Linked DNA regions of Xenopus tropicalis. The protein of the gene in region 1 interacts with the protein of each later gene in a pairwise test. Links are inferred from orthologs where the notes say so. Each region holds a gene or a part of one and is shown on either strand. Other genes may lie near its edges.

What was found. The genes of interacting proteins can lie anywhere in the genome.
Region 2: the proteins of lsm2 (region 1) and dnaja1 interact in a two-hybrid assay, tested with the Homo sapiens proteins (2 studies listed by BioGRID and IntAct). The link is inferred for Xenopus tropicalis from reciprocal best matches to the Homo sapiens genes LSM2 and DNAJA1.

The regions. Positions count from the first base shown.
Region 1 is NC_030684.2:75,103,095-75,107,127, reverse strand, and holds lsm2 (U6 snRNA-associated Sm-like protein LSm2), read left to right. Parts: upstream 1-1,233; 5' UTR 1,234-1,371; coding exon 1,372-1,374; intron 1,375-1,838; coding exon 1,839-1,906; intron 1,907-2,389; coding exon 2,390-2,420; intron 2,421-3,304; coding exon 3,305-3,364; intron 3,365-3,481; coding exon 3,482-3,607; 3' UTR 3,608-3,940; downstream 3,941-4,033. UniProt on the Homo sapiens protein: Plays a role in pre-mRNA splicing as component of the U4/U6-U5 tri-snRNP complex that is involved in spliceosome assembly, and as component of the precatalytic spliceosome (spliceosome B complex).
Region 2 is NC_030677.2:94,451,940-94,456,070, reverse strand, and holds the start of dnaja1 (dnaJ homolog subfamily A member 1), read left to right. Parts: upstream 1-1,331; 5' UTR 1,332-1,423; intron 1,424-4,131.

The sequences.
Region 1 (4,033 bases):
GGAGACATATTTGATAAATGGGGAAAACCCTAATTTTGTAGGCAATTATGAATAATATACGGTGCTGGTTTCCCTTTGGGCTAAACATTAATCCTATTTGTAAAAATGGCCCCTTTATTGGAGCTCCCTATAGATCCTCTCTCTTCTCTGACCATGTTTGAAATGAAGAGTGGGCGTGTCCTAACGGTCCCTGCAAGAAGCACAGTAGGAGGGGGAGAGCCAATCACAGACCTGCACTCACACAAGCAAAGACAGGCTTCAGTTCCCTATCAGGTCAGCCTAGCTGCTGATTGGTTCCTATCCTACAGTGCAGTGTATAGAGGGCCGCTGGCTCCCCAGCTCATCCAGAGAATTCAGCCAGCAGGAAGTGGAGCAGATGGGGGGGACTAGTGGGGTTTTGGGGGAATTTCTCAATAAATCTGTCTGAAATACAACTTTTTTAAGCACATTCCTTCTATATCTAGAGGAGTATAATTCACTGGCACATTCATAATTTTTATAGGATATGTCTCCTTTAACAGTAACTAGCCCAGGTATGGACAGCGTAACTCCTTTTAGCTATCTCGTAACCCTCATGCCTTGTACCTGGAGTTGGTAATTATTGGTCCTTAACATTACAATTGATGTTTGTTGTGCAAGAACTGATAGTTTGTGTTTGTGGGTCAGAATGCAGTTCCAGCCTCTGTAGTTACACCTGGAATCCAAAGTTGTTTAATAAACTGGTACAAGGGACATTTTCTCTGAGCAGAAGCTCAAAAAGGGCAGGAGGTGGGCAAGTGACAAACCAAAGGTTAGGGATTAAAAAAATACAAAAAAGGGATCCAAAGAACAAGGAGAGATAAATCTGATTCTTGTCTGACTGTCGCTAGTTTGGCCCTAGGTTAGAATTCTGCTGGCAGAAGAAACAATAAAATAAAAAAACATTTTAAGGTTGGACATTACAGATCTAATGTGGAGTGCCTAACCTTAATATAGTTCATTTTTATTCTACTGTTTCATAAACTAATCTATACTTTGTTACACTTAGTACCTGCTCCCAGTTTATAAAACCTGTATTTTTTTTAACGTATTTTAGTTGTTCAGGGATAAAATACGTTTAGGGGACTTCTCAAGAAAGTTACATGAAAAAAATGTTTTCTGTCCTCGCGAGATCATGATTGCGTCATCACCGTGGGACCCATTCATTCGGCCGGTGCCTGAAGCCGGCGCGCAAATTCCTGCTGCTTTAAATTCTCGCGAGATTTATGCAGAGGCGCTAGAGCGGTGAATGAGCGGAAGGCATTTGGTGTGTAGATCTGTCGTTGTCAGCGGCGTCTGTTTTGTTCTTCAGTTTCCAGATAGAGCTTGGGTGGTGCGACTGCAACAGAAGCAATGGTAACCGCTTAAGAACACTAGCGTTCCGTTACTGTTTCACGTTTTGTAGGGTAGAACCTAAGGAGTCGATAGCCATGTATTTTGTGGTGTACCAGCGTATACAGACCTGTTTGGCAATCAGTCCCCCCCCCCTATAGTCGCAAGGTCAGCTTTCTGAGTGGCCATGCCCTGCTTTGACGTTCCATGTTTTGCCTATACCAGGATTCTGGGATTTGTAGTCTTATAGCAGTGGGAGGGCTCGAATTTGGCCATCCCTGCTTTGCAACAACATTTCAATCATTTGTAACCTGATGTTAGTTGGACAGAACAACTTGTCTGTCTCTGTTATTGTTTGTGTCTTATGAGAGAACATGCTTTGCCTTGATCTGTAAAGGATCTTGGCAACATTTGTTATGTGATGTGCCTTGGGTAAGCTACAGGAGAGGCAACTGGTTTTTATAACTACTTGTTTTTATCATGTACAGCTATTCTACTCCTTCTTCAAGTCTCTTGTAGGAAAGGATGTGGTGGTAGAGCTGAAGAATGATCTGAGGTGAGTGTTTTGCCCCATGTTCTTTCTAGAATTGCTTCCCCCCCCCCCCCCCCACATGCTATACAGTCAGGCAAAAAGCTGCCACTGGTACATTTCAAGAACCTAATTTCTGTACTTTAAGGGATGTGACACACGGGGACATTAGTCGCCGCGCAACAAATCTTTCTTGTTGCGTGTCGACTAATCTCCCTGTGTGTCACAGCCCTTAAACCTAGTGCAGTGTGTGCAGTTGTGCTTTCTGCACTTGTGATGTGCCCAACACAAAAGAGGTAAGCACGGTGGGTGCAGCAGCACTTAGAGTCCCCCTGACCATTGTCAAACTTTAGAGGGCAGAGTGTATTGTGTAGACAGAATTTATAAAAACATTTTCTTGTGCTCCTGTAGACTTCACACCCTTAAATAACCACTTCTTTACCATTTAGCCATCTTTCATCCATTTAGCCTTTTGTTGCACTATTACATAAATGGTCTTATCTCTTGCAGTATCTGTGGTACTCTACACTCAGTTGATCAGGTAAGTAACTGAGCAAATATATAAATGTAGTTTATTTTCTCAGCATAATTATCAGCTCAGCCATGTTGTCACTTAAGCCTTGCAACTGAAATTGGCATAAAATCTTTCAGTGCCAGGGAAAAATGTTGGGTTGGCAAAAAAAAAATGAAAAAGTGAAAATTTTCTTTTAAATGACTTTACCATTACTGAAATTTCCACAACGCTAGGTTAAATTAAACCCTAGCAATCAGATAGCGCCTACAATTCCAAAATGGAGAGCTGCAATAAAAAAAGCTAAATTTAATTAAAGACTGCGATAATGAAGACTAGTTGCAAATTGTCTCCAATTATCACTGTCCACATCATACTAAAAGTTCATTCAAAGGTGAACAACCCCTGAAGGGACAGAGCCTTTAATAAAATGTACGCATCCTGCAGAGTATAATGTCAAACCAGGGAATATTTATTAACATAATTACTACAAGATTCTCCAAAGAGAATATTGCTCATATTTTTTTTTTTTTATACCCTAGAGGGCTTGTTTGCATAGAGGAATATCTCTGCTCTACCTGTTATCGTAGTACCTTTTCAGGTGTCTGGTGCTAAACAGTCTGTAGACCCACCTGCCCAGGGTCAAAGATGCTGTAGCACACTGATCCGTTATTGTGGTTGCATTAAGTTGCACCGACTCTTGCAATGTTTTGGGTCACTCTCAGACTGGCTGAAATGTTCCCAGTAGATGTCTGCTAATTAAGCCAATAAATCACTTTATTTAATGTGTGATCAGTGTGCTACATCATCTTTTGCATTCTGCATAGAGGAATATGTCTTGGAATAGAACTTTTGGGGGGAACTTGTGTTTTTCATTATCTCAAACAAGATTTCACTTTTTTTTTTTTTTATAGTATTTGAACATTAAGCTGACTGATATCAGTGTAACAGACCCAGAAAAATATCCACACATGGTAAGCTTTTTTTTTTTTCTTTGTATTTTTTATCTGCACCAGTAAACTAGATACTTAGCTTTTAATCCTGCTTTGAAACACTTGTTAATGTAATTATTTAAAAAATTTTTTTTTTAGTTGTCTGTAAAGAATTGTTTCATTCGGGGATCTGTGGTCCGCTATGTACAGCTCCCTGCTGATGAAGTAGACACTCAGCTTCTCCAGGACGCTGCACGGAAAGAAGCTGTACAGCAAAAGCAGTGATGTACAAGAGCTAGAAGGATGGAAGCAGGTTCACAAGCAGCACTAGGTGTTGTCAACTGCCTATATTTCTATAAGGCCAAATATAGGAGTGAGCAGCAACTTGTTACCTGTTATACAGGTTTTGCATTACATTTCTGTAAGAGACCCACACTTTTTTTTCTCATCCTAGTTCTGGAAACTTTTTTAAGTGCAGTGACTTGTGTGTTCACTTTAGAATCCAAGCAATGCATTTTGCTCTGCAAAGAAGTGGTCTCAGATAAGCAGAGTTAATTGGGAAAGACTGCCCTAACTTTTTTTTTTTTTTACTTAAATAAATTTTGTGTTAAGTCATCAGCTCATGTTTTTTTTTTTTTTTAGTGAAGCTAGTTCCTTCTGTTTGTATCTGCCTTTCTTAATTTTGTCGTAATATGATTTTTACTGGTTTAA
Region 2 (4,131 bases), on another chromosome or scaffold:
TACAGTAACACTACTATAATTTATATAATAAGCTGCTGTGTAGCCACGGGGGCAGCCATTCAAGCTGGGAGAAAAAGCACAGGTTACATAGCAGATAACAGATAAGTTCTGTAGAGTACAATAGTGTTTTATCTGTTATCTGCTATGTGCCTGTGCCTTTTCTCCTTTGAATGGCTGCCTCCATAGCTGCATAGCAGCTTATTTATATAAATTATAGTAGACTTTCTGAAGTAAACACACAACTTTTACCAGTGCAGGGCAGCAGCACATTATATTTTAGTTACTTTTATACACTTTCATTTTTTGGTGTTACTGTTCCTTTAAATATGCAGCAGTTTTGGTCTCTAGAGCCTTATTGATAGAGTTCAAAGAAGAGGGAACAAGCTGATAAAGGGAATAGAAAGGCTGATGAAATGCTATGATAACCATGTATGAATGCACCTTACAATAAACTTTTTAAAGGGAGCAAGAACCACAGAACCATTGTTGACAACCAACATACAAGGCTGGCTGCTTGTACTCATGTCCTGCAAGCCCTATTAACCGTAAATTATGCCCACCAATTTCCACTTGGTTTTCTCCTTGTAGTCCTGCTCATATGATAAGCTTAAAGCATGGGTATTCGGCATGTAATAAATGTACTTGTTTGTAATGAAAAATTGCCTTTGACCCATGTTTTCTGATTACAATATTGGACCCTGGGCAACTTGGAATTGTCTATTGCAGTCACAAAGAAGCAGCATCCCTTCTGATGAGATGACAACTTCGCTCTTTAAACGGCATGGCTATATGTTGTAAAGTTATCACGTTTCTGTGAAGCCTTGCAGCTATTCGGTAGGGAAGCTGTCCCTTAAGACAATTCCAAAGACGCAAATTTGTATAAATATATGTATGTACAATCTTACCTAGCGTGGGTACACACGAAACATCAACAGCTATACACTACAAGGCGGAGCCTGCATATACTATGACCTACGGAATACAAGTGGACGCAAATCTCTGTCGGCCATTAATATGACAGACACGTATTTTAAAAGGCTGATAAAACACCACGTATGTGAGTGTAAAAAAAATCATTAGGCGTTTTTCGTGGTGTTTAACCATACCAATTCTTAGAATTCACGTGGTCGTCAATCAATTCAACTGATTTCAGTGCCACGTAGCGGTTGGAACGCAAGGCGTGCTGCAGTGAACCGCATCAGGCACGATTGGCAGCACGTTCCCGCCCTCACTAACGCGCAGTTGGATTGGAGCCTGAGTATTTGCCGGTTCCGGACTCTAGGCGTCATCGTGGTCTCACCACCCCCTTCTCTTTCCTTTTACATAAGATTCCCGGATGTGACTCTTGTTCCCTCGATCCTTCTAGAAGCTGTTAGACGGAGAAGACCGCTAGCCACCTTGAATATACAGTGCATTATCGTGGGTATGAAGGCATTAATACATTTATTTATTGTTGATTTTGTTGTTTTTTTTATCCCAGCTAAATGGAACACGTGCCGTGTTTTCTGTCTCAAACGTAGTCGTTGCTTTTATATGAGCGAGTTTTGGATGTAAGCGGTTATTGACTATATTTTTTGCAGGTTAGAATTGAACTCTAACGTTTTTCCCTAATGAATAGTACGCCTGGCTATGATTTTTTTAAATTCCTTTGGGTTATGATATCACATTTGTCGGTCCGAGGTTATGTGGGTTCGTCTTTGGTCGGCGAGGAGGTACTGAGCTAGGTGCCTGATGTTGGCTATTCTCTTGTCACGTGACTTGGCAGTGTTGGTCATTTGACTGGGGTCAGTGTTTCATTGCTCTTTTCTCCTGATTGAAGGCTCCCTGGGGCTCAGTTTTGGATCAATACCGGGTTTTAGTGTTTCTAGGCAATGAATGCCTGAAAAGTGACCCACCTCTAATTGTGTTGCTAAGAGAATTGCATAAGTGTATCCACACATGAAATACATCATAATGCATAGGTTTTAGCGGTACAAAACCCATGGCATCCTTCAGAAGTCTGACCACTTTGTGAGAATTAACTATTTCTATGCACGTTGTCCCAAAGTGTATTACCAGGATTTCTGTAGTTTAACAGTAGTGCTGGTGTCATATTTTGTTGGTTTATTTTTTTCTTTTATTTATGATTATGATTATTTAACTTATGATTATTTATGATGATCAATGCAATTCAACTTCCTACATGTTGCAGAGAGACTGTTACCTATTCCACATATTCATTATACAATTTACACATTTACTTAAAGGAACAGTAATGCCAAAAAATGTTAGCCTTTTAAAGTAATTAAAATGTACTGTTGCCTTGCACTGGTAAAACTGGCATGTTTGCTACAGATTTCCTACTATAGTTTATATAAATAAGCTGCTGTGTAGCCATGGGGGCAGCCATTCAGATTGGGGGGAAAAAGGCACAGGGTACTTAGCAGATAACAAATAATGCTCCATTATATTTTACAGAGCTTATCGGTTATCTGCTATGTAACCTGTGCCTTTTCTTCTTTGAATGGCTGCCCCCATGGCTACACAGCAGCTTTGTTTATATAAACTAGAGTAGCCTTTCATTTTTTGATGTTACTGTTACTTTAATGTAAAGCAGCTTGGCAGACACAGACAAGGGGTCATTAAAGGAACAGTAACACCAAAAAATGAAAGTGTATAAAAGTAATTACAATATAATGTACTGTTGCCCTGCATTGGTACAACTGGTGTGTTTGCCTCAGAAAGACTACTATAATTTATATAAGTAAGCTGCTGTGTAGCCATGGGGGCAGCCATTCAAAGGAGAAAAGGCACAGGTTACTTAGCAGATAACAGATAAACCCTCATTATATGGGGCTTATCAACTAGTTATCTGCTATGTAACCTGTGCCTTTTTTCCAGCTTGAATGGCTGCCCCCATGGCTACACAGCAGCTTATTTATAAAGTAGCTTTTCTGTAGCAAAAACACAATTTTTTTTTGCAGAGCAACAGCACATTATATTTTGATTACTTTAAAACATAATAATTTTTTGATGTTACTGTTCCTTTAAGATACCACAGATACAGAGTGCACTTCCAAATGCAATCACCATGTTTTCTACCCACTGGGAAGCTCCCCCCCCCCCCCCCCCCACAGAATTCCATTGCTTTGTTGTGGTTGCCAGGGAGAGTTGACAGGATTATGGGTTGTGTGTCAAAAATGACTTCGTTTGATGCAAATCGTAAACACTGAAATTTTATTTTTTGCAATTAAGGAAGAAAGAAAGAAAATTGATATTCTCTCTTCCTAAATTGCATTTATGTTTTTGATCATGCACACCCTCATGCACAATTTATTTTTGCATTTTTTTATTTAAGTGTTGGTGCCCCATCTATATCTTCAATTTTATTTTTTGATCTGTCAGATGTTATATCTGGGATTTAGCGTGGTTCTTTTGGTGCCTCTGCACTGCACCTATTTTAGTAGGCAACTTTGAGTACCCTGAAGCTACTGCCTGGTTCAGAGATGGCAGTAGTGCTAGGGTTCTCCCTGCATCAGTAGGCACAACTATGTGCAATTCAAAACAGGCAGAAGTGCAGAGCGCAACTGTACAGAAGTGCAAGGACTGCATGTTGATGTAAGTAACTTCAAAGAAGGGTAATTTTTGTGCAACTGACTGCAATTGCACTTCATTAACTAAATGACCCCAATGGAGTGGTGACAGCATTTCGCATTTTTTTTTTCACACAAGGTCTAAGGTGGGATTTATCAACAGTCGAGTTTGTTTTCCTTTCGATTTAGGTATTTTGGCACTTTAAAAAAAAAAAAAAAAAAAAACCTCAAATTTGAGTTGTTTCAAAAACTCGAATGTCTGGTATTTATTAAGTGCAAACACCCCAAAAATTAGAATGTAAAACTTTACCGTGTAAAAGCTTGCAGATTTCTATGTTTTCTCCCAGATAATGGCAGCAGAAAAGGTTCTATGTGCCAGCTCACCCATGTGACTTCATCTCTGCAGGAAACTGCTTTGATTTGAATGCTAATTGCCTGGGTCCAGCTCACTGGCTGATTATCATTGAAAATGTGGCCTTTTGCGACTCATTTGATTTCTAACTCAGTGGGCGGGTGGCAAAATATTAGGAACTGCTCAAGCTAGTTTTTTGGTGGCTGG